4 linked regions of the Struthio camelus genome follow. The protein of the gene in region 4 purifies or fractionates together with the protein of the main gene of each other region. This does not show direct contact. Links are inferred from orthologs where the notes say so. Each region holds a gene or a part of one and is shown on either strand. Other genes may lie near its edges.

The links.
Region 1: the proteins of YWHAE (region 4) and FRMD6 purify together in Homo sapiens (co-immunoprecipitation; 3 studies listed by BioGRID and IntAct, with this or other methods). This does not show direct contact. The link is inferred for Struthio camelus from reciprocal best matches to the Homo sapiens genes YWHAE and FRMD6.
Region 2: the proteins of YWHAE (region 4) and LMO7 purify together in Homo sapiens (affinity purification with mass spectrometry; 3 studies listed by BioGRID and IntAct, with this or other methods). This does not show direct contact. The link is inferred for Struthio camelus from reciprocal best matches to the Homo sapiens genes YWHAE and LMO7.
Region 3: the proteins of YWHAE (region 4) and KIF1B purify together in Homo sapiens (affinity purification with mass spectrometry; 3 studies listed by BioGRID and IntAct, with this or other methods). This does not show direct contact. The link is inferred for Struthio camelus from reciprocal best matches to the Homo sapiens genes YWHAE and KIF1B.

What each region holds. Positions count from the first base shown.
Region 1 is NC_090946.1:80,641,411-80,648,344, forward strand, and holds the start of FRMD6 (FERM domain-containing protein 6), read right to left. Parts: upstream 3,017-6,934; 5' UTR 2,564-3,016; intron 2,274-2,563; 5' UTR 2,201-2,273; intron 1-2,200.
Region 2 is NC_090942.1:177,434,759-177,441,748, reverse strand, and holds the start of LMO7 (LIM domain only protein 7), read left to right. Parts: upstream 1-3,981; 5' UTR 3,982-4,016; coding exon 4,017-4,124; intron 4,125-6,990.
Region 3 is NC_090962.1:5,886,554-5,894,545, forward strand, and holds the start of KIF1B (kinesin-like protein KIF1B), read left to right. Parts: upstream 1-4,983; 5' UTR 4,984-5,217; intron 5,218-7,992. UniProt on the Homo sapiens protein: Has a plus-end-directed microtubule motor activity and functions as a motor for transport of vesicles and organelles along microtubules.
Region 4 is NC_090957.1:15,856,068-15,863,696, reverse strand, and holds the start of YWHAE (14-3-3 protein epsilon), read right to left. Parts: upstream 3,016-7,629; 5' UTR 2,577-3,015; coding exon 2,513-2,576; intron 1-2,512. UniProt on the Homo sapiens protein: Adapter protein implicated in the regulation of a large spectrum of both general and specialized signaling pathways. Binds to a large number of partners, usually by recognition of a phosphoserine or phosphothreonine motif.

The sequences.
Region 1 (6,934 bases), on a different chromosome or scaffold from region 4:
GGAGGTTTGCAAATCACTGCATCCCTCTGCCGTGCTTTCACAGAGCGCTTGACACCCGTGACACTGGCAAGTCAACAGGTCGACGGACTGAAACCACAGCTTTTTCCCTGGGTTATGCCGCATGACCAAGCCCAGCTGTTAGCTGCAGCCTGCACCCTGAAATCAGTGGCAGAGCCCCATTTCCTGGGAGGAACGAGGCCGGCTTCCTGGGGAGCTCGGGGCACGGCGCTGTCTGCCTGGGGAGGAGGAAGGCGGCTGCGGGGAGAGGTGCCTTTGCATGTTTGCACACAGACACAACTTTGCATTTTCTTTTTCGCCTTGCCGTCCGCTCTTGTAGAGCTCAAGAAGACTAGGCCTCCTCTGCTCTCCAATAGCTGAGATCAGCACTTTAACCTTATTATTTTTAAGTTAGTCTCTAACCTGATCCAAAAACTGACTACCCAACCTAAACCTCCCCTCCTGACCTCGAGCCTGGAGGGAACGTGTCGCTGGGAGGCGAGGTGCTTTGGTGCGGAGGTTGTGCTGGACATTTGGCCAGTGGTGTGGAGGCCACGTCGGAGGTGTGGAGGGAGGAGGAGAGCAAAAAGACGGTAAGGGCAAGGACACATCGCGCCCCAGACAACATTTTCAATTCATTGCAAAGGACAGGGACTCTGGCAATTTTAAATGCTTCTGCAACTAAAAAGGAAATAAGGGGTTGCAGGAGCGGAGCAAACCCCGGAGCACAGGCCCAAAGACAGCGTCAAACAAGAGCAGATGCACAAAGAGCAGCACCTTCCCAACATGATAACACACGTCGGGTGCTGCCTGGGACACCGAAACCCTGCTTCCCAGGCAGCGTTGCAAAGACCAGACCCCTCGCCTTTCCCACCCACGCTGCAGCAAGAGAGCAGGCAGGGAGCGCCCGTCTCGCTCCGCAGCACTTGGAGAGTTGCTGGCTCCAGCCTCAGGCACAGCAAGTGTCACTTCTCCCCCAACGCAGCAAGCGAAAACATGAAAATAGCCAGTGCAAATGGTGGGATTGCTTCTGGGGAGGTGATCCCCTCCACAACACCAGGCCGTCCCAGCCAGTCCCTCTCCTGGAGCTACAAGGATGGGAGAAATCTGGGGCTTGACCCTCAGGACCTGCCCAAAGTCCAGCCAAGAGCCATCTCCGGCTGCTCTCCCAGCAGCTCTGGGGCCCTTGCGGGAGAGGAACAGCTCAGCATTTGCAGCACAAAAGGGACCCCCCCCATCTGCCTTTTACTCCTTACAACCCCACTGGAGAAGCCCCCCCATCCCACTGGAGGGGACCCAGCGCGCAAGTGGAGTCACTATGCGCTGCCGGCGCACAAGATGGACGGTGCTCCTGTGCAGCTCTGCTTTGGCTTTCTTAGATATTTCCCCCTTCCTCCCTCCTTGACTATGTTTTTCTCCCTGGGTTTTCTTGGTAAATCCTCTTTGCCCTTTGGCAGCCCATCGGACTCATTCCCACCCTTCTTTGCCCCCATCCCCAGGGCACCTGCCTCTGTGCTGCTCTGAGGAGCCCCCACACAGGAGGCCCTGCTGGCACACCGGCCACGGGTGCTGGGGAGCGGTGAAAACCATATCAAAGCACCCGACACATTGCAGACCTTTGACACCCTCCCCGCAGAGCTGTTTGCAGCTCCCTCCCACCAGCAGGTCCTTGCCAGAGACAACACAGACAAAACCAAAAGAAAACCAGTTGATTCCAGCCAAACGACATCACATTAAAAGCTCAGGGGTTGCTGCATACAGCGTCGTCCTCTACAAGCAGAAACCCCCAGAAACCGAGGGGGCCACATATGAGTCCACCGAGCAACATTCACAACACAGCTCTTGTGCTGAAGCACCATGATGAGCGTGGACAGAAGGCAAATGCAGCCCCAAACACTGCGCAAAGCCCTCCCGGACCACAGCTGCCAAGACTTGGCCACCATGTTCCCACCAGGAGAAGACAAAGCTTGATAATGCCGCAGTGCCCTGAGATCCTCTGCCACAGCTCACTGGGTTCCTAAGGACTGGAAAGCACTTACAACCATTTGTTAGCCACAGGCAAAGTGTGGCTAGACACGTCTCCGTCAAAGCTGCAATCCCTCCGCTCCTTTGGGAGCCAGCTAAGATGGCTCTTCCAGGGTTACAAGCTCTCATTTCCCTTCCACAGCCGAACGCCATTAAAAGCATGTACTCATCACCCTACCTGGTGCTGGGATCGTTTATGAGTTGGGTTCCTTCAGCTGATCCATGGTAAGTTCCAGGTTGTCTCAACTGAGCTGGAAGATAAAACCACCAAGAGAAAACTTAAGTGTCTCCACGAAGGCGTCACGGTTCAGGGCAGACTCCTCTCGCGCTGTCGGTGGGAGCTCATCTTGCAGGAGCCGAGGCAGGACAACGGGACCATAGGGCGCTCAGAGCGCCTGCTCTCCAGAGCAGAGCTGGGCTCTCAAGGTCCTCCTTGCTCTGGTGAAACACCAGGCGCAGGATTGCTCCCTGGGAATCGTGCTCTGCTCGGAGGGACCTACCCTTTTTTGACTGGTGTCCAACTCCAGGTGCGTGTTCTTACCTGCTCGGTGGAAGACAGGGGAAAGCTCAAACTCCTTTCTGAGAAACACATCGGCTTCAAAGGGGTGTGGATCTCACGCAACTCATCTTGCTCTTCAGCCAAATGACAGTTAGGAAAAGAGGAGACACAAAGTTGCAGCAAACTGGAGAAAAGAGGAAGGTGGTGTGAACTCTCCCTGCAGGCCAGTGTCTAAAGAGATCTACCAGTTGGTTAATAGTGTAGCTGTGATCAACAGGTACATTGATGTCAAGCTGAGACTTGTCTCCTCAGAGAGGAAAGGGAACAGCAGAGATTACTAAGCAATGAAGGAATGTGGTTTGTTTAATATGAGCAATCAACATAGAAGAGTAAAATAATGACAGATGTGTAATCACATTTCCTGAGTCTAAAATCATGAGATAGAGAATTTAAACACTACTTTTCCCAAGATCAAGAAGAGGAGCAGTTTGGCTAAGAACTCATTTGGTTACTAATTTCCTTGCATTAAATAATCTATTTCGAGAGTCTTTTGACATGCTTTGCCGAAGTGCTCTAGGAACCGGGCTGCTCCCTGGTACACTTTGAAGTGAGGGTAAGCAGGACGAGAAGATGCTTTGGAAACACAGATATGCCAGCTGACCAAGCTGGCCTGGTTCAGAGATTTTTGAGTGTTGCTTAAGTTGTTCATTTTAACGAAAGATGGCAAGATAAATTTCATGTGGCTTTTTGTCCGGGGAGCAACGAGTGGCGTAAGACAGAAATTAGGATCCAGTCAAACCGACCCATTGAGGGTAGGCTGGGGAAAAAAATAGAGCCATTTCTCCATGAAAGGCCTGGCAATTATGGAAAGCCAGAGCGTGCTGCGTTGTGAACTCTCCCGTTAGGCTGATCCACAGAGGGCACACGGCTGAGGGAGCCAGACCCAAAGCCCCCCAAAACTGGTGGAAGAAGCTGCTGTGCAACCTCAGTCCTTAACTCAAGCTTTGGCAGATTTCTGAAGGTCATGGGTGCAATGACCTGAAGGAAAAGGGTTATGTGCAGTAAAGGGCTGCGAGGGAGAGGTGTCATTCGCTTATCTGTTTTTTTATTTGTCTCTTAAGATCAAAGGTGGGAAAAGTGCCAAAACAAGTGGGAAAAAAGCCATTGAGTGCAGAAGCCAGCTATAGAGGGACTCTGGCCTGTGGTGGCAGGTCCATCCCGTGAACTGGCTTCTGTTCCCTCAAATCAGTGCTGCCAACTTGGAGGCAAAGCCAAGAGAGACCATGGGTGGTCACTTCTGGCTACCCTCACCCCTTTTTTGCCCATCGTTGCTCTAGGTGGCCACTTCTCTGACAGTGCCGGTTGCAAGCCGAGCACTGCAGCAAGCCGTTGCCTCCCTATGTCGTGACCCCTGTGCAGCACGGGGAAGGCGCTTGCCTGGTCACCCCACAGTGCTGCGGGCAGTGGGGCTTGGCCACCCGCCTCCCCGGCTCCAGAGCTGGTGCAGGGCTCGCACAGGCTCCCCACCGGCATCTCCAGCGGCGCAGCACGTATTTGCATTTGAGATAGGCATCAGCAGGAGGAGCCAGGAGCCAGAACCAGGGCTTGAGCAAGAATCGCTCCAATGAGCTCGCCAGCCCCTTGGAAGGCCCCGCTCATGGCTGGCGCAGGACACGAGCAGACCCACCGCACTGGGGACAAAGCCAAATGACCTGCCTCCCCCTTCCCTGGCTTCACAAGCCTGTGACCCCAAGCCACCTGTCACTGTCACCATGCGGCATCCGATCCTGCCCTTCAGCAGTTGCAGGGCAGCAGTGCCCAGCTGGACATGGACTTGCAGGGCACATGGCCAGCCCCAAGCACACCCTGGTTATCGGGCAGCAGCAGAGATGCCCAAAGCCAGGGGCTTCGGGAACCGGAAAAGCCAAAATGGAAGTATCCAAGGGTGTGGGAACGCTTTCCCAGACAGGAGGCAGCTGGTGGTCCTAGGAGACCTTGCAAGGGAGCCCTGAGCTAGGGCAGCTGTATCGCTCAGAGGAAAGCCAGGCCCTTATGGGGAAGCTGCTGCCTCTTGCACCAGGAAAAGTGACTGAGATCTTGAAAGGGGCTTTAATTAGTCTGACCGTCTGTGAACAGCTATTCTGGAGACACCCGTGCTCCAGTTAAGGTTCAGTTTCACCCCAGAGTGTACAGAGCCCAGACACAGCTTGTCCCTGCCCAGCAGCATGCAGAAGCACTCGGACGGTCCTGGGAGAGCCCAAAGGCCGGATTTGCCTCTGTAATTAGGGCTGAGGCCAGATTCCGCTCGGCCAGCACTGGGGTGAGTTGCGTTGCTGGTCCTTGCAAGGGACGAAAGGCTTAATTTGGGATATAGGGAGAAGAGCCCATACAGTGAACGTGGGGAGCCTTTGGAGGACGTCTCGGAGCCCATGCCCAAGCAGGACGGCTGTCGGAGGCAGAGCAACTCGCCGCCTCTGCCGGCTTTGTGACATCTTGCACCTTGCCCACAGCACAGACGAGATCTGCGTCTTGCAACCCTACGGCTTTCATTCAGGGCTGCAATTTCTCCACCGGTTACTTTATTAAGAGTCACCTTGGGTGGGATTTAGCTGTCTGCTGTGAGATGAACTGAATCACGCCCTCCGAGTCAGCCCGCTCTATAAAGGGAGTCTAGACAGCCGGCTGATGTGGAGACATCTCTTTTGGAGATACGTGCATGAGGTCTGAGGCGCTCACCACATCAAAGGACCCCAGAGCTGCTACAGTGAGGTTGTAATTAAGCCACCCCAGGGCAAGAGGGAGAGAGTTTCTCAACACTGAGATCCTGAGATCCCCCCCACGGCTCAGTCACTCGGGGTGGTGTCCTCCATCATCGTGAGCCAGAGGGCTACCGGCCGGAGAGCTCGCACCCACCTCGCGAGACTTTGGCGGCCGTACCGGGTGTTTCCATCCCACTGCTTGCAGGGATCGCGCTTGCTTCATGCTGACCCCGGTCTAGAAACCAGGCAGCCAAACGCTCCTTTGCAAACGGATGAGGCTCCATTTTCAGCTTCTTGGCTCCCTTGCACACACTGACCCACGAGCTCCTCCCCAGCCGTAGGATTTAGGGATAAATGAAGACTAGTGCTGGCTGCTCCAGGAGGTTCACTGGGACCAGGCTTTTTTCCTCTTGATTGCTGGAGCCGCTCATTCCCCACTTGTCCCTCCTTAGGCAAGCCGGGAACGAGCAGAAGTGGCTCATTTTGCAGCTCGGGGCTGCGAGCGCTGTGGGTCACCAGGCCAGGCACTTTGCCCCGTGACATCCCACCTTGCAGCTGGCCGGGAAGAGCTGTCCTGAAGGTAGCTGCAGCCCTGGAAACCCTTGCAAACACTCTCGCAGCCTGCCAGCGACCCACACAGCAGGCGACCGAGCGCAGTAATATGGCAGGTTCCAGTTTCGACTTCAGAGAGCACAGAGGAAAAGAGCCATTTAATTACCTGGAGGAACCTGCTTCGTTCCCCTCCTTGCTATAAAGCATATTTGAGTCTTGTCTTCAGCCATGCAACAAGCCCCAAGAAACCCAATGCCTGGATAGGAACCGGAGCTTTGCAGGTGGTAGATACTGGATAATGTTTTTGCTTTTAGTAGGATTTTATACAGCTGGATCATTTCATAGAGTCGGCAGGTGACCACAAAAAAGAAAATGGGCGTAAGCAAGAAACACATAACCTCTTGTGGGCAGGGAAAGAGAGGATAACCATTAATCCTATCCACCAGCACTAGAAGGGTCATGTGCAACGCAGCCTTGACAAAGGCGGGAACATGTATCTCAATTCCCCATTAAAACTAAGCTCTGCAGGGTATCGATAAAGCCTACATTAAAGGATTAAAAATGGACTAAGAGATCTCAAAAATCAGTCTTCCACAGGAAAACCTCAATGAAGTGGAGTGTCGCTATCGGTGTTTCACAGGGCTTGGTACCAAGCCAGATGCTGGCCGACGTTTCATCCGTAATCTGGGTATCACTACAAAATCATTGCCAGCAAATGGTGTGTGGCACCCCACCTGAGGGGGTGTAGGCACTGAGCACAGACAAACCAGGGTGTTTGGGGATAGCCAAAGGTTTTTTGATGGAGAGCTGACAAATAACACAGATTTAAAGAAAATAATCGAATAATCAAATATAGCCATCTCAGCCTCTCTGAAATGGGTTTCTTCTTATTAAATAGGCAATGGCCACACAGGCCCTCAGCTGATCCCTCTGCCTGGCCATGTGTTCGTGCTTTGGAAGAGATCCTATCCCACCACAAAGCCCTTGAAGGGTTTTCTAAATGTAAAATAAACCCCAAGGCAGCCCTGAAGCTGGAAAGTAAAACCAGGCGGTACCAGTACCTCACATCGCGTCCTCCCAATGCAGCAGCCCTGCCTAAATG
Region 2 (6,990 bases), on a different chromosome or scaffold from region 4:
CAATCAAGACTGCTGGCAAAAGAAACTGATCCCTCAGTGTCCCATAGTGTGCTTTCACTCTCTATCAATTGTCATTACAGGTAAAATGAATGGGATTATGCCAGAAGCAATCTGGCAGAATTTTCCTTCATAGGAAAGAAACAGGCCTGGGAGTCTGTCTTATCACTTAAGAACGTCTTTTGCACTCTAAAGAAAAAGTCGGAGGAGAGTGTCTGTCTGAAAATGTCACCTGGAGAGTCCTCTGACAACAGAGTCTGTTTTCTGTAAATGAGCTGGTTGGAAAAGTGAGGGGGGAGAACACTAATGAGCTTCCATTTCCAGCATTTATTTTTCTCCCCATAAAATGCAGTAGTGTTCAGAAAAGTTGCTCTACAGAACACTTGCTTTACATTGCCATGCTCATTAGTAAAGCCTTGAAACTTCCTTTTAAGTGAAATTCAAAGAATTTATTAAACAGAGCAACTGCATTTGTTTTCCTGCTGAACTAAAAGTTTCCACAATATAATTGGGATATTGCATCTTTTGTGTTAAAGATGGCTCAGAGGACTGCAGTTGGGAAACTGAGCTATAGCTAATAAAGATAAGGTGCTCTGAGGGTGAGGGAAGAGGAAGTGCAATCAAAACTGTTTAGCTATATCAGTTGTCTAATGTAGGGAAATGTTCATACCCATGTATGCCTATCAATGTTCAGAAGATGTCTGTATTTTAAAGCACTAAATGTGGGGACTGTGTTTTTGTGTAAATGTTTATTGCACACCCAAAAGAACTGGAACTTCTATCAATTATTGTAACAGACTTAGTGAAACCTCAGCAAAGGTGATTGAGGTTAGAGTAGTAAAACTGGGATAGGTTTTTTCTTGGTCACGTTTGAAGAATGTGACCTTAAGCAAAAGATTATAAATAAGAAGTCTTTGTGTTTGGAAAGATGACAGTTGTGCACACACTTTCTAAATAGTCTCCAAATCAGTTCTCTAGGGTAAATAGTCTTAAAATCAGTTCTCTAGGGTAAGGTTTCCTTGTATTTTTACTTTCAGTGTTAACTTCTGGATTATTAATATAAGATGGTACTTGTTAGTGAACATTGCTTTTGGACAGTCAGGTTCTCAGAAGACTGAGATCACAGTTAAGGAAGAACCATGTGTCAGGCTTTATACTGAGTGGTATCTGCTTACTGCGCAGTTCCTTGCTAGGCTGAAATCTCTGACAGACTGCTGCAGAAATACTATTTTAGCTAACATGTGCACTGTGGTGGCCTTCCAGTGCTTGTAATACCGTGGTTTGGCACAGGCACTGGCGAGTGTCTTGAGAAGCACAGACAATGAAGGGATCTGCAAGGTGCCGGAATATCTTTGGCATTGAAAAACCAATGTTAACTCGGACACCAGGAGCGTGGCACGCGTGCTTAGCTGACTTGTGTAGTCTAGCAAGGTTTGAACTGGGGTGAAGGAGCTTGGCTGAGCCCTCAGTGCTGCGATGCCCATGCAGGCATTGCATTATCTGTCAAGTTTGTGCTATTAACTCAAGCTCTGTGGAAAAATCATGTGGCATTTCTGAACTTGTGCGTCCCTGGCAGAGCCTAGCCCCCTTTGTGTGTAGCCTGCTTTGGCTCCAGGTATTTAGCGCTAGGACTGCCAGGAAATCCCTCTTCGGCTCCTGCAGTTCAGGTCGGCCATATGCATGATGGACGCAGGGAAGAAATGATGCATATTCAGCGCTTGCATAATTTTAGCTGAATGGAGCTGGTGTACTATGAACTGCTTGCGATTGTTCAAAGTCTTCTACGTATACCTGCATAAATCTTCCTGTGGTATTAAAAGCATTTTGTTGGGAAACATTAAAGATTGAAGAGCCAGAGTAATGCATTTTCCTTTCAATCATGGCTGCATGTCCACAACGAGGTGAGGAGAAAAGTGGTTTCTATCACTGAAATGTCGTATTTGGAAAATAAATACACTTAGAGCCCACACTAAAGAAAAGACACTATTTATTTTCTAAGAAGGGAAAAAAACCTGCCTTGATGGAAAATATTATTGCATCTAATATTGTTGGAACTTTTTATGAAAAGAATAAGTCAAGCCACAGTCTGTCTATCCCTGGGAGCACACACACAGTGAATTAGTTTGCGGAGTGAATTAGTTTGCCTACTCTTCTTACCAATAATTAGCAGTCATGCCAGGATTATGCAGTCTCTTTCTGATCTAAGAGTCTGGTGACTTATCTTGTTAGTGCAAAAGAATATTGAACAATTTCTGCTGTTTTGGCCTACATAGGAAAATTGTTGATTTAAAATTCACTTTGAGGAAGAAATGTGTATGTTGGAACTTGAAGTCACTCACTGAGTAAAAGCATCTACTTGAAAGCTGCTGTGGTCCATGAAACTTACTGAAAGGAGTATTTGCTGAAAATTACTGAGATATGTTATCTAAAAAATTACTTTCCTTATGATTAAAGTATTTAATCTGATTCATCTTGAAGTGATATAAAACAACCAAAAAAAAGTGCAAAAACTTGGAAGCTATTTTCTTAAGCATGAACTCTATTTTTTTTAAACCTGTTTCATAGAAATTTATTTTCAAATTTCCACCTTTTTCTCCTACTTAAGGCTGAATATCATATTTTTAATATTTGTGAGAAGGCAGACTTTAATGGCAAATGCTATAGTAGTTCTCCAAATGAAACTTTTAGTAATGACAACTGATGCAAATTGATGTCAGCCAGCAGCAGCACATGCACTCTTTTTTTCACCTTTGTAGCCATGAATGCAAAATAATTGAGATGAGAAGGTTGCTTGGTTCACACATTTCACTAAAAAGGAATGCACGTTCTTCATTTGTATTTGGTCTTACAGTTGCTCCACCTTGGGATAGGAAAGAGGAGTGAGGAAAAACTGTTTCAAAAGTATAACTTTCATTGTCGTTTCATTCATTGCTGCCCCTGTAGCACTGAGATCTCAAATCATACCACCGTGAGGAGCTAACTGTGTGCTTTCTCTGCATTTCTAACTTTAATAAATGTCAAACATCCTGTGGAGTTTATTTCAATTTGAATCACTGGTTTTTCATTTGTCTGCCACTCGTAAAACAAGGTCTATATGTGCTACAGAAACTGATAGCTAATAGCTTATTGATAGGAGATCAACTCCACCCAAGACGTTCATTCCCCTTTTAAGAAGGTTGTATTCAGATCAGAAATAAGATGTGCATCCAAGTAAACAGGTCAAGAGAAGCTAATGGGTGTGCAATGTTAACTGAATTTTCTTAAATTAGATAGAATTAGCCCATGCTCTGCCACAGCCCATAACAGCAGACGATACAGGCAGCAACTGCATTTTGCTTATATGGAAAAGTTTTAGGGAAAGAAGACTAATAAGAAATTCAAGTAGGGGCGGGGAAAAACCGCCTTGATGTTAAGGTTACAATGCAATCAAGGAGTTGCCCTTTATTTTGAGGTGGGCAAGCACGCCAGGGAGGGGCCCCTCTCTTGCTGAGCTTTCCTGCTCTGCCCTGGGAGCAAGGGTTTTGCTCGGCGGGCCTCAGCTGCCCGCTGCCTCCTTCACTGCGGCACAGCCCGCTTCCCACCGAGCGGGACCACAGAAGACGTGCGGGGCTGAGGCGCGACACGGGCACCCTTGCAACCCCTCCGAGTTAAAAACACAGGCGTGGTTACCACCATGGAGGGGGGGGGGCGTGAATGAACAAAATGACAGCCAAGAAGGTCCTCGTCCCGGCGTCTCCTGGAGCGGGGGGGGGGGGGGGACTCTCTTTTTGTGGCCACCCGCTCAAAGCGCCCCTCTCCCGTGGCGGGGGGGCGGCTCGGGGCTGCCCTGAGCCCCTCGTCGCCGGGGGGCCGGGCCGAGCCCGGCGGGGGCGGCCCCTGCCGGGGGCGGTTGCCTTAGCGCCAGCGGCTTCCCAAATTCCTGCGGCCGCCGAGTGCCGGCAGCTCCCGGCAGGGGGAGCGGGGCGGAGCCGGGCCGGGCCGGGCCGGGCCGGGCCGGGGCGTTAAAAGGAGGCGGCTGAATGACAGCGGCGCTGCCCGCGCCTCAGCCGGGCCGAGGACGGGCTGCTCGCTGCCCCGCCATGGAGGGGCCCGCGGAGGCCTTCGCCGCAGCCCAGCGCTGGGTCGAGGTGAGGCTGCTGCTGCTGCCGCCGCCGCCGCGCTACTGCCCTCCTTCCCGCCGCGGGCTGCCCTTCATCCACCCCCTCCCACCCGCCGCCTCCTCCTCCTCCTGCTGCTGCCCCGCCGTCCCTGGGGAGGAGGGTGCTGCTGCTGCTGGGGGGCTGCGGGGCGGGAGCGCCCAAACTTTGCTGCCGCTGCTGCTCGTTGAGCAGCTGCGGACTGCTGTTTTTCAGAAGGTGTCGTTAAAGCTTGCGGGAAGGTGTGCTTTTGCGCTCCCCCCCCCCCCCCCGCCTACGCGAAGGGATGGGACGGCGGCATGCCCGCGACTAGGGCTCACGGCTCCTTGTGCCTCTTGCAAATCACTGCCGCCAGCGCTCGCTCTGCGGCCGGCGGCGTTAAGGTGTTTCCTCCTCTTCCTCCTCCTCCTCCTCCCGCCTCGAAGGCTGCAGGAAACGGAGTAACCCAAAATTACAGTAACCTTCCTCTTCCCCCCACCCCACCCTCTTTCTTCTTATTTATTTATTTTTTTAACATCAGTGGCTGGCTGCGCTTTGCCGGACCTAATAATACCTCTGTTTGTCTAGTCGTTAGCCCGAATCACGCTGGCGGTATGCTAACGCCTGCGAGGAGGTCGCGACCAGGTTGTACCCGGGCGCCCTGTGCGAGCGAAATGGTGGTGTATGGCTGGAAAAGGGAGCTTGGCGACACGGAAGGTGTTTTTAAGAAACCTCGGAGTTCCTGCGAGCCTCGTTTTCTGTCATTGCGCGCTTTTAAAAGCGACCTTTAACATCTCAGGTTATGAGTTATTTAAACAGCTTTAAACTTGTAGGTATGCTTGCAGCCGTTCGCTGCAGGTGAAACTTATGTTGTTGGAAATACGCCATTCCGGTAACTTTGAAAAGCGTAAGCGTTCGAAGAAAGTCCCCCTTTGCCAACTTGTCCAGACCTGAGTTCAGGCTTCTTTGTTTCCTCTGGAAAACGATGACATCTAGTGCTTAAAGTCTATCGAGGAAAGGCTGAGTATTTTGAACCGAGGGCCCCGTAGGTAAGGGAATCGGGAATGATTTCCACAAATGCCAAATTTGTAAGTGCTATCAATAAAATTAGGTAATTAAAGCACTCTTTTTCTCTCTCTCATACACTTTTCTTGCGTGATTTTTTTTTTTCTTTGAGTCAGCGAAGCTTACGTTGGATGGTATTACCTCACCTATTTGAAAATCCTATTTTAAGGTGTTTTTTTCCTCCCCTCGTTTGGTATTGGCTTGGTGTACTATTCAAACAAAAGGACCTCTCCTTTGCCTGCCAGTAGCACATGGGAGCAATAGGGGTAAACTTATGTAAGTGTGAAGTGTGTGCTGTTTTTTATATAGTGGAAAACCAGTATGTTCAACTTCCTCTGTGTTCCTTCTGATTTGTGTGGTTGTACTTTGTTTCTGAAATGGGAAGGCTTACCTCATTTTAAAATAACTTTTAAACTTACCCTATGGATAGGCTTTTTATTTTAAGTAGAATAACTTAAAAAAGCCCGAAGGTATTGATACACAGGATGTTTAGAGTTCTGTAACGTTGAAGGAAAATGTAAATATTTATTTCTGTATGAAACAAGGTTTGCATTTCTGAGAGTACTTTGTATTTCTCTACTCTTTAAATTTAAAAAAAATCAAAACCAACCATTTACAAAGTCATATGAGAGGAATACATATTTTTTTAGATGAGTCGTGTTCCAGGGTTTTGTGAAACTGGGTGAAACAGTGGTTGAGAGCAAAACCTGAAAGATATCGAGAGTCCTGCTGGTTTAAGCAATTACTCCTGAGGATGAGGCGCTACTTCTGACCTTTACGTTTTTATGTTTTGGTTAGGATGTCATTCTCCAGTTTCCTCTGATAGAGGAAGATGAAAGCATACAAACACTAGCTGATATGTATCTATAGCTATCTATCTATCTATATATACACTTAAAACAACTAGGGAAATCCCTGTGTAAACTGTTGATATTTGCCTTTGATAATGAAATCTGCATTAACAAATATTTCATTATTTCAGCACAGAGCTTTTCAGAGTCTGGGATTAGAAAACCTCAGATGCTGAAACTGAGGGATTTTTTTGTAATGGGATTGGGTAGCTGTATTTGTCATATGGCGGGGGGAGAATGAGAATAGATGTGCAGAAAACTTTTGAAGCTTTAGGTAAGAGAGAAAATACCACTGCTCACACAGAACCCCCCCAGTAATGGTAATTAGAGTGCTTGTGTGGGGTTCAGAAGGGACCTGGTCAGGTCCCTCTTCTGCCCGTTCCCAGCTGAAGTCTCCCAAATCTCCATGCTGTGCAGCCACCACTGGCTGGTGGGAGCAGCGACATTTGACCATACGCTTTACACTGCACAAAAAAAAGGCACCCTTAATTAAAAGTAATGATAAAAAAAATGTTGGATCTGATGGTTAATGGAAGACTTGGGGTTTAGTTCAAATTCATGTTCAAACATTTTATTGTCATGCAGACAAGGCGTGCTCTGGTCTTTGCAATGTAAAGAATGTTTCAATTGCAGTCTCCCACCCCTTGTAAAATGGGTTTTTGTGCACGGTGGTGAACTGCGGGGAGAAGGGGAAGGATGTTTTTGCTCCTCTTGGTATTGAAAATTCTAGTTAGCGATGGCTGGTCACTCTCGGAGAGCTGACTGTCTAACACATCTATTTATTTTGGAGAAAGAGAATAGTCATTTTCTAGGCAAAACTTAAACTCTTCTCCGGAGTTCCTGTGCTGGTTGTTTTCTAACCCAGAGCCTGGCACTGATTAGTGTGGTTAGAGTCTTGTATCGGAGACTTCTGGCGTCTTCGGAGCTGCGCATGCAGCAGCCATCGCTAATCAAAATCACCT
Region 3 (7,992 bases), on a different chromosome or scaffold from region 4:
CCGTTAATTTGATTGTGGTTAGAACCTTGGACATTTTGCTGCTAAAGTAACTTTTTCCTCTTTCCCTCCCTCCTTCCACCCTACAAACCTGCACTGCTGTCTTTTTTTTGTAATGCGAAAAAAAAAAAAAAATCCCTGTGAAAAAGAAAATCATTCCCCTGCCCTCAAAAAGAACATATTCTGTGCGATAACTGTGCCTGCAACAAAGTGTTAATCTTGGGATCGTATTTTTATATTATACATAGTCACATATTTGTTTTTTTAATTGGTGTTAGAAGACACAAGAATAATTTAAAAAAGGCAAAGATTGGACATGTGGATTTTAAGTTCTGGTTCTTTGAGATGTCACTTTTCTTTATGTTGATCTAGATGCTCTGGTATTTTTGAAAAGCCTTGTGATAGAAATGTGATAAAACAGCTGCCATGAATGAGATAGTTGGAATACCAGGATTTCAGTGACTTTTAAAAAAAAAATAAAATCCATTCTTTTAATGCTGAAGATATGATATATGCTAAATGACAGTTCTGAGCCATTAGAGCTTGTCCGCAGAGAGCAGATCCTTTTATTCTTGGAGGTTGCAGTTGGGGCAGGGATCATTTTTATGTTGCTTACCAATTTGTATCCATGGCTTGGCCTTACCAAAGCAAAAAGGGTGCAGGAAATGTAGAATTACATTTTTTTAAAAAAAATTAAAAAAAATCACAAACATTTTTGTATTACTGCCCCCTGCTTAAGATACTTGAATTTCCTTTTTAAAAAGGATTTGAAACCACAGTGTTTTAAAATTAAGTCTGTAAAAAAAGGTTGTTTTTCTTTTATTTGTTTTTTTTCCCGCTGTGTCCTCTGTTCAATTCCTGACTCTCTTGAACTACAATAAATGGTGATACACACTCACAGAGAATCTTTCCTTTGTCTTTCATTTAAGTGAGTCACTGAAAGTAGAAAAAAAAAAAAATTACAAATGATTGGGTGGCTTCGTTCAAGTTTCCCGATACTCATTTAGGATCCAGAGATAACTTGGTCAATTGTATGTGGAAAAACTGCCATGAACTCAAATATCAGTAGTACTTCAAACTAATGAGTTTCCACAAGTAGGTGAGTTTTGTACCTAATGGTAGTTACCTTGGCAGGCAGTGACCGCGCTCCAGGGGGAATTCTGGTCATATTATAATACAATGCTGACCTTTCAGATGTGTAAGTAATTTCAAGTTAACACGTTGAGATGCGGTGGTGTGTGCTTGTTTCTTTTTTGAGGGTGGGGGGGAAGATTCTGAAGGTTGTGGCTACATGGATTGTTGAACAGAGAAGATTGTTCTGTCACTCTTTGGTTTCTTAATCTGCGCTCCTTTCACAAATTCAAATCCCCCTCTTCCTCCCCAACAGTCACAGAACAAAACCTGCTATGTTTTTACCTGCAAATTGTCATTCAGCATCCAAGTCCATCATAGTTTCCGAACATGTTATAATGTGTGCAGTGAGCTATATCTTTCACGTTTATCACTTGAAAATGTGTCAATCCAGGTATTACAGAAGACATGAAAGCTGACATAAGTGGCTAAAACAATTTTATCTGGAGAACAAAGTATCAAATATTTCAGAAAGGTGTGGATTTAGGCACCTACTTTTCCAAAATCAACATTCATGGACAGAATAATGAAATATATTTTAATACAAGCATTTGAAATAGTACCATTATATTGCTGTCTTTTGGGTGCAGAAATGTATCAGTAGCCTGTCCTTTGGTGGATAGTAGATGTTTCAACAACTTAGAAAGCTAACCTTAGTATTGGACTAAGAATGAATCCTGCATAAAAGCTTATCAGCTTCAGGAAAACTCTTAGCTTTTTAGTCCATTTAATACAAGCTGTACTTTTTTGCAATTTTGCAATCAAATTTTATTACAATAAAAATAAAATTAAGCATCCAGCAGTTAATTGATATTTTCAGTGGTAATGTATTGAGCTTTGACGCTTACATGCATCTACAGAATCTGAGGAGTTTTGATCTGTGAATTGCGCAATAAATTGCTCATCTCAGTATGGGCTACCTTCCATGAACTTTGCAAAATGTGTCCTTCCAGGAGAAGTTGAAGTTAAAACATTGTATCACTGGTCTGTACTTGCCCTCTAGTTATGTGACTAGAGGGATTACTAAGCCAAGTTCTAATGCTGGTATTGATAAAATACAGTGCAATTGATTCTATTATATCATAATTTACTCTTATGTAATAACAAAATTTACAACCCTGTTGCCAACTATACACTGCTGGCAGCAAGGACAGCCTGTGATGCTGTTAATAGCAGGATGACAGCGCTGCTTTAGCCAATAACAAATTGAGTCCCCTCAGTTCCCGCGAGCATTACACTACAATATAGTAAGTCTTCCTTTTCCTTATCATTTGGCGTAAACCTACCCTGTTTCCTGCCTTTAAGCAGTCTTCCCAATTTTAGGTAGCACATCACAGCGACTTGAGTAACCAATTATCCTTGTTTGTAGTAATAAATGCAATAACTTTTTCACAGTACTGCTTGCTCTCATTGTTCTGGTATGATAATGCTCAAAAGCGGTTTCCTTGTACTGGGAAGTTGTTGGGTTTTTTTTTCAGGGGGGGGAAAGAAATATCTAAATTACTTTAAATCTGCATATGCTTGTGTGAAGTTACTAATCAGTCTGTGTGCTAAGTGCTGCAGGGCTATATGCTGTTTGTCAGAAGCTCATGGACCGAGAAAGATTGCCCCTTTTCTGGAGGGGAATGGACACATTCATTGCTAAAAAGCAGGATTCAGAGGTAGAGTACTGAAACAGAACTCCAGCTAAATGCATCTTGAATAGGTTTAATTCTATATTATTCTAGGAGAGCTGACTTTCAAAAATTATATTGAGAAGGCTAGTCAAAGCAAGGCCTGATCTAATTAAATTGAGAGGAAAATATGTAAGTTCTTTAATTAAAAGGTATTACAGCCAACTGGATGAGGGTTGCTTTAATACCTTACCACCTTCCAGCTGAATAGACTTGATATTTAAGGATCAATTTTTCTCTCTCTCACTGTCTCACTTTGCGATAAGTGACCTCCCAGATCCTATAGAGCATGCATCATATGTCCTTTGGTATCTTCTTTCTACAACTAAAGCTAGGTTTTCTCTGAGCATTCCTGGAAGATTTTTCAAGTCACTGTAAATGAGCAGCCTTAGAACTAACATGCTGGAACTGTTCTATGTAATTAACCTCAAAACTTTAGGAAACAAGGAAGTGGTGCGTGAACTATTATTTGTAAGAGAGAGTATGCAAAGTTTGCAAAAGTAAAATTAACCACCCTATTGCCATGGAAGAGTACAGCACATGCTCAGTATTGTAAGTTGCCAGTTCATAGATAGCTTTCCAGTCTTTTTTTTTTTTTTTTTTAAGAGTATTGTAACTCACCTAATTGTGCATGGCCCTAGATAGATATTAACGCAGCTAGAGCACACTAATGTGCACACTGCCAACTCCATTTTCCTGTCAATAGGGAGTATTCCAAAGCTCGAAGAATGGTATTTTCTAGGACATGCAAAACCTACCCCTATTGCTTTGCTGGTTCTGCAGCAATGCATCCTTGCCAGCCGATGCTCAGCTGTGCTCTTGTAGGCTTTTGCACACAATGGCTGAACTGCAGTGGGGAAGCACACACGGTCATAAGACGGGCTAGAGGAAAAATTACTGTTCACCCAACAGAAAGCAACTAGTAATGCATTCTTCCAAGCAACTGTAAACGATGGGGAACACATGAGAGACTAATATAGTTACCAGCCCAGGGACCTGTGAACAAAAATAAACCTTGTTCTGAAGCCAGAAGTCTCAAGTACCGAATGTTCTCAACAGTTCAGATTTGATTTGTAAATGATGGTGTGTGTGTGTGTGTGTGCATGGAAAGTAATGAAGGTATTTCATGTAATACATGCTTTTTCTTAAAAATGCTGGTAAGGTTAAGCATACGGCTATTCCTAACAGCACAAATGAATAAAGTACTAATGAAAAGGAGGAGTGTTTGAGTGGAGATTATTGCCACAACGATCAGTTTTTAATATAAGACAGAATATGTGTGGAATTTTAGAGTATGAGAATTTATGAACACCATTGTAACACCCAATTACATAAAAATGCATTATGAAATCTGCAGAAAATATCTTAGGCTGCCCCCCCACCCCCCCCCCCAAAAAAAAAAAAACCTCTGAAGGCGGGGGGGAAATATTTTTTCCTTCGGGTACATATCGCTGCTGTCGCTGGGCCTTACTTCGATTTCTCAGTGGGCCTCTGAGTCCTACTGAAAGGGCCTGGGGATGGCAGAGGTACGATTCGCTGGTCCGGGCACGGTTTTCAGGGCGGGTGGGCAGGCCTACCTGCCACTTGGCCCTTTAAATCGGGGCGGACGCCCAGAAGCCGTTAAAAATCGCAGTTTTTTCCGTCACATGGGCCCGGTTTGCGCTCGCCGCCTCACGGCCCCGGGGCCCCGCCCGACCCCCCCCCCCCACACACACACCGTGCGCAGGCGCTGCCGCCGCCGCCAGGGGGCGCGCAGGCACACACCGGCGGCGGCGCGGTGATGCGGCCCCGGGGGGCGGGAGGGAAGGTGTCTAGCGCCGCTCTTGATTGGTTAAAAGACGGGCGACGCGAATTCTGCCCTGAGCTCTGATTGGCTGAAGCGGCGGAGGCCCCCCCCCCGTCCGACTTCGCCGTGCCCCTGAGGCTCGGCGGAGGGATTGATTCAGGGGGAGGGGCGGGGCCGCAGCGTCGAGGGCCGGCATCGCCTTGGAGCCGAGCAGCGTCCTCCCTTCTTCCGGGCGGCGATTGGCTCCCGGTCGTGTCAAGCCGTGATTGGCACGGCGGAGGGCGGGCGCACACCTATTGGCCGCGCGGCGATTGGCCCGTGAGGAGGGGCGGGAGGCAGGGGCGAGTGGCGATTGGCCCCGCGAAGGCGGGGAGCGGCGCGCAGCGCCGCCTTCCTGTCAGTGTGGGAGCGGCGCTGTGGGGAGCGCGTCGCTGCGCTCGGTCCTCCCGGCGCGGCCTTTCTCCGTTCACCCGCTCCCCGCCCGGCGGCGGGCGCTCTGCCGGCTCGGCGTAGCTAGGCGGCGAAGCGCGATGGGGCTGCCCGGGCTCCCCCCCTTCCTCCGCCCCGCGCTGCGCTCCTTCGCCGGCCCTGCCGGGTGCTGACAGCGCCCGCGGCCCGCGGACGTCCCAGGTGAGGGGCGGCCGCGCGCGGGGGCGGGGGGGGGGCGCGACCCAACGGTCGGCGGCGGCCGTTGGCGGGGCCGGGTGCGCGCGCGCGCGCTGCTGCCGGCAGGGGCGCCGCGCCGCGGGGGGGCGGCGGGGCCCGGGGGCAGGGGCTGCCGCGGTGAAGGGGGCTGTCGGCCCGGCCTGGCCTGGCCTGGCCTCGCAGCTGCTTCTTCCCCTGCCTTCCTGCCGCTTCCCCGCTGGCGCCGCGAGCCATGGCGCTGCAGCCGCTTCCCCTACTGGACCCCGTCCTGGAGATGGCCTCATTTCTCCGGCCTTCCTCCCCTTGCCAGGCGGGGGGAGGCGGAGGCGATAACGGCTTGATTAGGAGGAGACACGGCCCCCCCGTGCCAGCTGGGGACGGCTGCACGAACCAAAAGGGGTTGCGTGTTCCCCCCCCCCCCCCCCGGCTGTTTTTTTCGGCCCCTCTAGGTGGTGGATTCGGTGCCGGGATTCAGTGCAGCACCATCACCGAGGCAGCCATGTTGGGATGATGATCTGACAATCCTGGGTGAGCTGAGGCAGGAGGCAGCGCAGGAGACAGAATGACAGGCCTGCTAGTGTGGGGGGTCACTGGCAGAATATAGGTATTAAACTGAGGTCGGAGGACTGATGTTTGCCCGATGCACGTGGTGAATTTTGCATCTGCCCTCCAGAAAGGGGAGTCAAACGTTGAACAGCATTCATACTGTTTTTTTTTTTTAAATTCGGTTGTTTTTGTTCTCTCTTTTTTTTTTAGTTAAATTATTTGTAGCCATATGTTTATATGATCTGATTTTCAGTTCAAGTTTTGCACCTGCACTCAATTTTCATCTACCATCATCACTTTAGATTAAAGTACAAAAATAGCAGTTTGTAGTGTTTGAGTTGATACAACTGCTATCTCTGACTGTCATCAATACCTGGTCCTTGGTGGAGGACCTAAAATTGGATTCCCTGTGGTCCTCTTGTTCATAAATCCCTGCTGCTCTGAACAGCTGTTTTGCTAACTTTCCATAGACTAATCTCTGTGCTTGTTCCTTTTCTTTCTTTAGAGCTGATGTAGTGATTAAGTTACAAGTGTAGGAAACAATTTTTTGTGTTTAAAAGTTAGCACGTTTTCTGGTAGACATACTATATTCTTTGTTTCCTTTACAAGTATGACACAATGGCTGGCTGTGTTGAATGCAAATGACGCTTCTTTTGTGATGCGTTTTTTTTATTTGAATGTAGAGAGTGAGATTCTGAGCTTTATTTTGTAATCGTTTTGAGTTTGTTTTAAACTTGTCTGATGATGTTAATAATTTGACTCTTCAAATCCCTATTTGACCTTTAGCTTTGTTTCAAACAAGAGCAATATCTTTTGTGTTTTGATGCTGCATGAAAACTGATTTCTCAGAACTTTCAGATATATAAAAATTTTAGAATCAGTCTTAATGAAAAACTTGTTTCAATAAACATTTGTTTGTAAAGTCGGAATCAAATTTCAAGTGCTTGAGACCCACAAAGGGAGAGTGTCTGTTTGTTAGCTTGAATACTAGAAAGCAGACAAGATATTTGGATAATTTGTTTAATGATAGGCTTTAATATTAAAAACCTCACTGTGCAACTTATAGGGTGTATGGTGAATATCTTTTAATAGTAGTTTAAAATAAGATTAGTAGAAAGCTGTCTTCTCTCAGACGTGTAGGGTTTGCTTGTGAGCTGACTAAATGCTCAGGTATTGCTTACATCCAGTTTTAGAGCCAGGGGTTATATCATGGTAAGGATTCAAACATGCAGGTCTTTTCTTTGACTTGGTTCTTGTTTGGATTCCTACAGGAGAAACATTAAAAGATGCACAGTTAGTAGACTCTTTCCAAGACATTAAGGGAATGGTTCATTGCAGAATGAATGGCAGCCTTCTAAGCCTGTAACAAATAGGAGAGACTTCATCTTTTAAGCTTGTATCAAAGACTGTAGTAAGGATTTTATTTGCCTCTGTTGCAAGTTATGTCTCCTCTTACCACTGCATAGACAGTGTTTTGTAACAGTAACAGGCGCTACTGAGAAAGGTGAAACTTGGAAAGCTAGTTGCAATTTATTACTGATTTCTGTGATACTTTACCTGTTCAACTTGGTCTCGTTTTGCCTTATTTTGTCATTCTGCATGATGAAGGCAGGGCTGCCTTTATCAAGTGTCAGGAGGACCGGTTAAAGTTGTGATTAACTGAAAAACACTAGCTTTAATTTATGAGAAACTTGGAAAAAAAACCCATGGTTTTGGGCTAATTTTCATGTTAATGAGTATTAAATCTTGCATAGTGAGATGATGTCAAAACATCTGAAGTCCATGTGCAAATGTAAACATGCATTTTGTTTACTTCGGCTGTGAAAAGTAGTAGACCTGAGAGTGAGATAGAAAATGAAATGCAGTAATTACAAATGAGCATAAAAAGATAGGGTTGGAAAAAGTTTGTAACTTCAAAGGCTACCGATGAGGGATTTTTTTAATGCTGATATAGGTGATCTTGTTCTATGAAAATTTTTTAACATCTGTCTTCAGAACAAAGTTCTTGTTTAGCTAGTGCGTATTGAATCCTTGGTGCTGTGCTTTGCTTTTTTATTGTGAATAGGGTGTATACTTGTGAGATTACTTCCCCCTATTTTAGCGTGCTCTTTGTTAGAAAATGATTTTGTTAATTGAAATGGCAATACATTTTCAGGTTGCTTAAGGCACTTTTAGAGAACGTTTCATTGGACAGTACAATAACTGTGTTCTTCA
Region 4 (7,629 bases):
AAGACAGGGAGAGAGAACTTAATGCGCTCCTAGTATTAATGCAAAAAGTGGTCATTCCACATGCACATTCAACTTAAATGACAGATTGGTATTCCTATATATTTGTAGACGGTACTTACCATCACAGGATTCCATCTACTCCAATTAGTAAGTGTGACCTTTTGGTCACATATCTCATAGATCACCGAAATAAAGAACAAATTTAAAATTAACCTGCACATTCAATGTACTTTCCTCAAACAATTTCACTCACACAATTATTTAGCAGTCTCAGCTACGATATTTGCAGAACTACAGCATTTCAGCTATGTACGTACAAGAACAAACTAGACCAACATTTTTAATTGTTTCAGCTGAATAAGAACACAGAACTAGGTGCTAAATAGCATTTATAATATATAATCTTCCAGGCCAGGGCCAAGACAGACATGAAGACATGTTTAGAACAGCTAACAGAATTAGAGCGTGCACCTTAAATTGGTTTACCCAGCATGACTTCAACAAACTTTATGGAATCTATGGAGGGGAAAAAAAGGCATTATTTTAAACATGACAACTGGAAGATGTAAAGCTTCCTCCCTAATGACAGCAGTCTCATTGCCCTTCAGAAGCAATGTATCATGAGGAGTCTTCTACACTTTACTCTAGCCAGCTTGTTCAACAAATATCCATGCTAGTGTGCAACAGAAATCCTACAGAGGAAAACGCTGCAAAAACTCAACCGCTATCAACTTATTTCTCCTAGCAGACAGGAAGTCTGATTGTTTGGTACTGCAGATCTCTACAATGGCGTAGGGTCTGATCACTTTTTGAAGAACAGGAATAATTTACCACTAGTCTAGAAAAGCACCAAAGACAGTTGCACCTCAAAAGTTCCCAAAGATGATGAATCCTTTAGGATGCTAGCCAAGCATCTTACTTCGGGTTTCTACTCAAACCAAAGCCAACACTATGCCAGGTGGAGAAGCCAACACATCTATGCCAGGTGGAGAAGCCCTTCCTCCTTATAAACAAACCAACCAAAAGAAACACACACATAGCTCTAGGAGTGTCGTTGCAATGGTGTGTTTTGCTTTTGTTTTGCTTAAATGCATACCTATGTGCAATACTGGAACTGCTCCCACTCCCTCCAGTCAACTCAGTCTCACCACGCGATCTTGTTGTTGGGGCATCTTTTCTCGTAAGTCCTTACGGTTATTCTGAAAGGACTATTTAACTGCTGTCATTTAATGGAATTCTTATTTCTACCCCATTTCTCTACTTGAACAGTCACAGAAGTAAGCCTTATTTAAGCCTTACTTTTCAGCTGCAGTTTCTATTTTCCTCCCCAAAATGGGCCTTTCTCTGATGCCTGAGAACAGTGCTACCCAAAGTTTTCTGAGCAGCAACTCAGAACCTAGTACAGGAACGTCAATTGGCAAGAACTATGAAAATGACAAAGAAATAAAGTATTTGAGGTGTCTTCCTATCTCTAGGTGAAGCATAAGTATGCTCACAGTTTTGACATTCAAAGGTATTTATTTCTCTTTGAATGCATAAACATAAGGTCATAAGTCAAAAGTAACAGTCCCAGAAGAGTAACATCATCAAGAAAACTAAAGGCCCTTTCTACTACTTGTGAGAGAAATGCGTTCAAGAAACAGTCACAAGGCAGACATATTTTGGGCAGGAGACACCATCCAAGGTTGCCAGCTCCTCCCCACCACCCCTTTCCCCCCCGAGATAGGAACCCATCAGGCATGGTACAGGAATTTTACAAGGGGAAAAAAAAGGAAAAGACTACATTGGAAGAGATGATCTTTATAAACTCGTATCACATAATGAAAGCATGTGCGTTTCCTTCAGGCAATGAAGGATGTACTCGATCGCTCCAGGGTGAGAGCTCGCTCTCTCTCTACGTTTGCTAGGGGCAGCAGTATCCCCAATCGCAGAAAAAGGAGAAGAGAACAAAAAAAAGCGCCAGCCACCTTCCCCGGGGCCCGACAGGGAGAGTAGGCCGCTCCCCAGCGTCGCCTCCCGAGGGGCTGGAGGAGCCGGGCACCCATCTTCCGGAGAGCAGGGCACTGGGCGTTGTCTGCGGCGAACCGACCTCGGCCTCCCACCGCCGGGCTCCGCGAGGCCCAGGCCGAAGACACGCAAAACCTGGGCCGAGCGGAACCGCCTCAAGCCGCGCCAGGCAGCGGCACGACGAGGGGCAGCGGGGTCTCTTTGTCGGGCCCCCCGAGGCGGGGGCGGCTCCCTTTCCCCTCCGGGACTCGCCCTTCGCGGCCGCCATTTTACTCCCGGTTTCTGCCGCCACCGCCCCCCGAACCGGCCCCGCCCCGGCCCAGGCCGCCCGCTCGTTCGGGCCCCCCATCCCCAGCTCCACCAGCCCCTTGGGGCGCTCCCAGTCGCCATTTTGTCCGTGCCCCCCTCCCCCGCCCCGGCCCCCCCTCCCCCGCCCAGCCGCCATTTTGTGGCCGCTCCCTCCCTCTCCCCTTGGCCTTGCACGGCCTTCCCAGCCAGCGCTCACCATCGTAGCGCTCAGCCTGCTCAGCCAACTTGGCCTGATAGACGAGGTCCTCCCGATCGTCCATGTCCTGCAGGCGGGGCGGCGTCGGGGACTGCACGGGGCGGATGGAAGCCGATGGCTCTGGGGGGCTCAGCAGCTACCAGCTCGCCGCTCTCCGGGCAAATATGGCGGAAGCCCCGCCCCGACACATCCGGGCACTTCCGCCAGTCTGCGCAAGCGCCCTGCGCTTTCCCATGACAACGGCGGCTCCTTGGCAACAGGCGGGAGGCGGGGGCCGGGGCCGGGGCCGGGGCCGGGGCCGGGGCCGGGGCCGGGGCCGGGGCCGGGGCTCGGGCTCCCGCCGCGCGGTTTTTACCGGCGGCTGTGGGTCCCCGACCGAGAGGGGGCTCGTTGTTTTGGGGACCCGGAGGAGCCCCGTGCGGCCCCGTGGCGGGCGGTGGGGGCGCGGGTGGAGAGCGCGGGTGGCCGCCGGGCTGCTGGCAGGGGGAGCCCCTTTCCTGCGTGAGGGAGGGCTGCGACCCGGGCCCGCGCTGCTGGGCGCTGGGGGGGGGGGCGCTTAGGAAAACGATGGGGTTTTTTGGGGTTTTTTTCACGCATCTGGTATCTTCCCCTCAGGCAACGCGTTTCTGCGCCCTCCAGCGCTGATAGCATTATTTGAATACCCCTCAGTGTGTTTTTTTACAAATCACTCCATACGCTCTTTACATCACGGTGTATCTAGAAATGGATATAAAGCAGTAGGTCAGATTTCGGAGGTTTCTGCAGTTTCTCCAGAGTGCTTACTCAAGAGAAATATCACCCCCGAAGCTCTATCTGAGGCAGGGCGCGATAATTTCAGTTTTAAGAAGTCAGGAGAGCCAGAATCGAGGTTGAATGATTCAGAAGTTCCTCACAGAGCATTTGTGAAATATTTAGAGTGCGGGTTTAAAGACTTGAGATAAGGCCTTGATTTCCAAAATCAACATGGCTTGGGAAGACGAGAAGGGCTTGTGCTTAGCTAGTGTAAATTCAGCCTTCAGAAGTTCACTCAGGGCACGTGTGAAATGAGGTCTCGTGTCTCTCGGTTGTCCCCGCGGCTCCTGGGTCAGGTAGGCGAAAGCCTGAGCCTTGCCAAGGTGTGGAAGTGCCCGAGGGCCTTCGCTGCCCTGGAGACACAGCAGGACCCTGCATCCCCTGGGCACTGTCTTGGGCATCCTTCTATTTTGCTGTTTTGTCTTGTGCCTGCTGAAACGGGCTCCTGATGTGCAACTGCAAGTACAGCGCTAAATCCTAATTTAAAACACACTTTTTTAAAATGGTTTATCTTTTCCTGATTGACTTTGACTCATACTACTTTAATGAGAGAGCAAGAGCTTCAGGGTATGTATAAGTAACATATCCTTAAGGCCTTCTTGCCAACATACTACAAAATTTAACAGACTGATTTTATATCACTGTTTGCATAACTTTCCTTGTGACGTTCTGGGCCTCAGTTCTATTCAAATCTGTGTTATCTAAACAAAAATATATACAAAAAAAACCAAAGACACTAGTATGTTCTGGGCTAAGGTGGAAATTAGGTGTCAAGTCCAAAAAAAATTTCTATTTTCAATGTAGAGGGAATACAGTCAGAAGATGCAGTTTTTGCTGAAATTGGGAACTATTCTATATCTTTACCTCTGAATTGTTTGTAACTACAAGGCACAATTCCCAAGGTTTTTGGCAGACGCACACGAGAGCCCAGCAGCACACAGAGTCATGGTCTATTTGTGTGAATTATGAAAACTCATTGAGCGTCTGACTTGCAAATCATCTCTGCACTTCAGAAATCTTGACCATAACAATTTACTTTTCGGCTGCTGAGACTTTGTGTGGGAGTTATGCACAAGAAATTAGATTTGGATCACGTTTAGTATCTTTTCTGTGATCCTCATATTGAGCAGGTACTCGAGTTGTGCAGAGCTTAATGGTGCAAATAAACCAGGTCACGTTAAGAATACTTGTTTGCCGCAAGTAAGTTGCCCACTTGATAATCTTGCTGAATTGTAGCATATTGCCTGAATACTTGAAATATTTTTGAATGCACTGGTTACAGAGGACATGCACATGTTTGGAAATCGGTCAGAGAATTGTTGAAGCATTAGGAGTAAACAGTCTAATGCAGGGAAACACTCAAAGCAGGATTTCCTGCTGCAATCTTTGTCTAATCCGTTGCAGCAGCAGCAACCTTTACACGAGTTGATTCAATCACTACTGCAGTGGAAAAATCATCGCCGGGAGGAGGCAGATGGGGAAGGAAAGGCAACAGTTTTCTGTGCGAGTCCTGAGTCACATCAGCTCACAGAGAAAACTGGCAAGTGCCAGTCCACGTTAAGAATCAGGAGGGCATGGCTGTCAGAGATGTGCGGAGAGGGGCACAGGACCTCTGCCTTTTGGCTGTGGTGAGTTGTGAAATTATCTCAGGTCATCTCATTAAAAGGCAGCCTTCGGTTGCAGTTCCACTGCAGCTGAATTGGAAGAACAATGGGGCAAAGCTGGGGGCAGAACCGCAACCTATGAAAATTTGCTTTTTCCACCTGAAGCTGACAGAATAGTCTGTATTGCGTAGGGGCATCACAGGAAAATTAGTTGGCATCTCAATACAGTTAAATACAAAGTCACTCACTTAAATAAATTCCCACTTGAAGACTATGCCAGACAGTATTGACTGAGAAAATTATCTGTAGTAGCCAGCCAACTGAACTTGAATCAACTTAAATATAAGAAGCTATCACTGTGATGTTATGACTAAGAAAACAAATGCTATCCTTTCGCTTAGAAGCAAGGAAAACTATTACTGCAGTGCTAACATTATGAAGGCTACTCCTTGTATACTTTTGGGAAAAACGGACAGTGAAGCAAGTAAAGCTTTAATTGGGAATATACAGTATGGCTTCCTACAAATGCTTTAAAAATAAAACACTGAACAAAGGAGCTCCCTTGCAAAAGGCCAAATGCTTTGAGGGATTTGGAATACCACAAATGTAATTTCTTTTGGCCCATAATTAACCATGGCACAAAGTGCAGAGCTAAGGAACTGGTGGAGTAAAGCTAGAGCTGTTCTTTGGTGTACACCACAAGCTAAAACTGTCTGGCTTTTAGATATTGTGGAGTAGTAGTACCATTACAGACATCTCTCCCTTTCCCTATTTCAGCATATGTCTCAAGAACTGTTTTTTTGTTTTTAATGGATGGTCTTGCATCTAAATGGATTCCCATCCCTGCAGGCCTAAAGGCCACTTCCCCTTGCAGCTTTTAAGGACTGTGATGGGAAAAAAATAGGTCTAATGAAGATATACGTTTGAAATGTCCTTCCACATGGGAGATCAGACTTTCTAGTCCTCATTTTCTGTGTATTTCATCCCTTGACAGTACACGGCAGATCTTAGTCTTTCACTGAAACAGTGCTCTCCTGCTACCACATTTAAAAGAAATCCTATTAAACCATTAATAGACTCTTGTATGAGACTCTTGCTGCTATTATTTATATACTTAAATGCTCATTTCTGCTGATGATCCTAAGACTGGAAGCTTTTTATCTTTCCAAACTGACACTCATCCAAAGAACCCCCACACTCTCTTCTGATACACCTGTGCAGTTCCACGTGAAACTAATAGTTACAAAGTCTCATGTGCACTTTCCTCATGAAACCTCCTTTGCAGTGAGAATATCCTTTTCTCCCTTGCCCTTGAGGAACTCATTTTATTAAAGAAAGTCATATTGTTTCAAAGAGGCCATAACATTTTACTGGTTAATAAGTTCTATTCGTTATCTTGCTTTATCTTTTTTCTGCAGATATTTTGCTTAATTGTTTTTGCATGAGTATGGCCAATTAAAAAATACTGCCAGCAACTGTACTTCTATATTATTAAATGCAAATACTCCAATAACAGCTGATTGACAATGACACCAAGCCAATGTTTTGGCTATACTTTTATTTACTTCACGTACTATGAACATATACATTACATGCTACAAAAAAATAAAAAAGACTTTAACTGTCAAGAAAGTGGATAGTGTTATAATACAATGGCACATGTTCATATTTTTCTTCAAACTGGTTTGGTTAGACTCCTTCCCCAAAACTACTAACAAAAAAAATGAAGTGTTTTAAGATGATTAGAAATATTTGCATTATTAACAAATAAAATTCAAACAGATTAACAAGATTTAACCAGGTCAAATATTAGTAAAAAGGCTGGGGTTTACCAAAATGAAATATATATTAAAAAACCATAGCAGCCAGTTGTACTTTTAGTGTGATATAATGTGTAAATGCACCAGAAGAACACAGTGTAATTGAGCATTCTGCTTTCAACGGTGTATTTCTAGAAATGATTATTCTAGTTCTAACACCTGCCTATGCACAATAGACCAAAAAAACCACAGCCAAGTAGAGACAAGAGATTGTGACCAACATTCTTAGCAATGATTTTTTGCACGCATCGGGAAGGAGGGAAGGAACAAATAGAAGAGGATAAACAAAGGCCACAAGAGGATTTCATCTACGTGTTTATGAACATATGTTCTACCTATTTTCCTTTAAGAGTTCGATAAGTTGAAATGTCTATTTTGTACAAATGCAAACATAGTAACTTCTATCACCTATGAAACAAAATCACATTTCAGCTTAAAACAGAATAGTGGAAAACAGTTGCATAATGTATCAGTTGACTAAGAAAAAAACTGCTTGACAAGAACTTAGGATTCTAGTGCAACAGCAGCTATTAAGACTCTTCTAGTTACTTTTTTTGCTCTTTCAAAGTGTACAAATATTTGCAATTTATACAGTCTTCACCAAAAAAAAAACCACATCTACAAAGTTTGCAGGGTATTTGCTAGTTAACAATTCAATTTGTTTTTCATAATAAAAAGGCAAGATTTGCATAATAAAATTCCTTTCAGAAAAAATGTGTTTTGTTATCTTAAAATAATTGCTGATTGGAAAGCTACAAATGATTTTCATTAACTGCCATCGGAAAAAATTCCTTCAGAACAAACTGTGTTACTTCAAGAACACACAGTTCATTATGCTTCTTTTGCAATACGTGAAGAAAAATATAAGCATATATGGGCAACTGATAAGCTTAGTATGCAA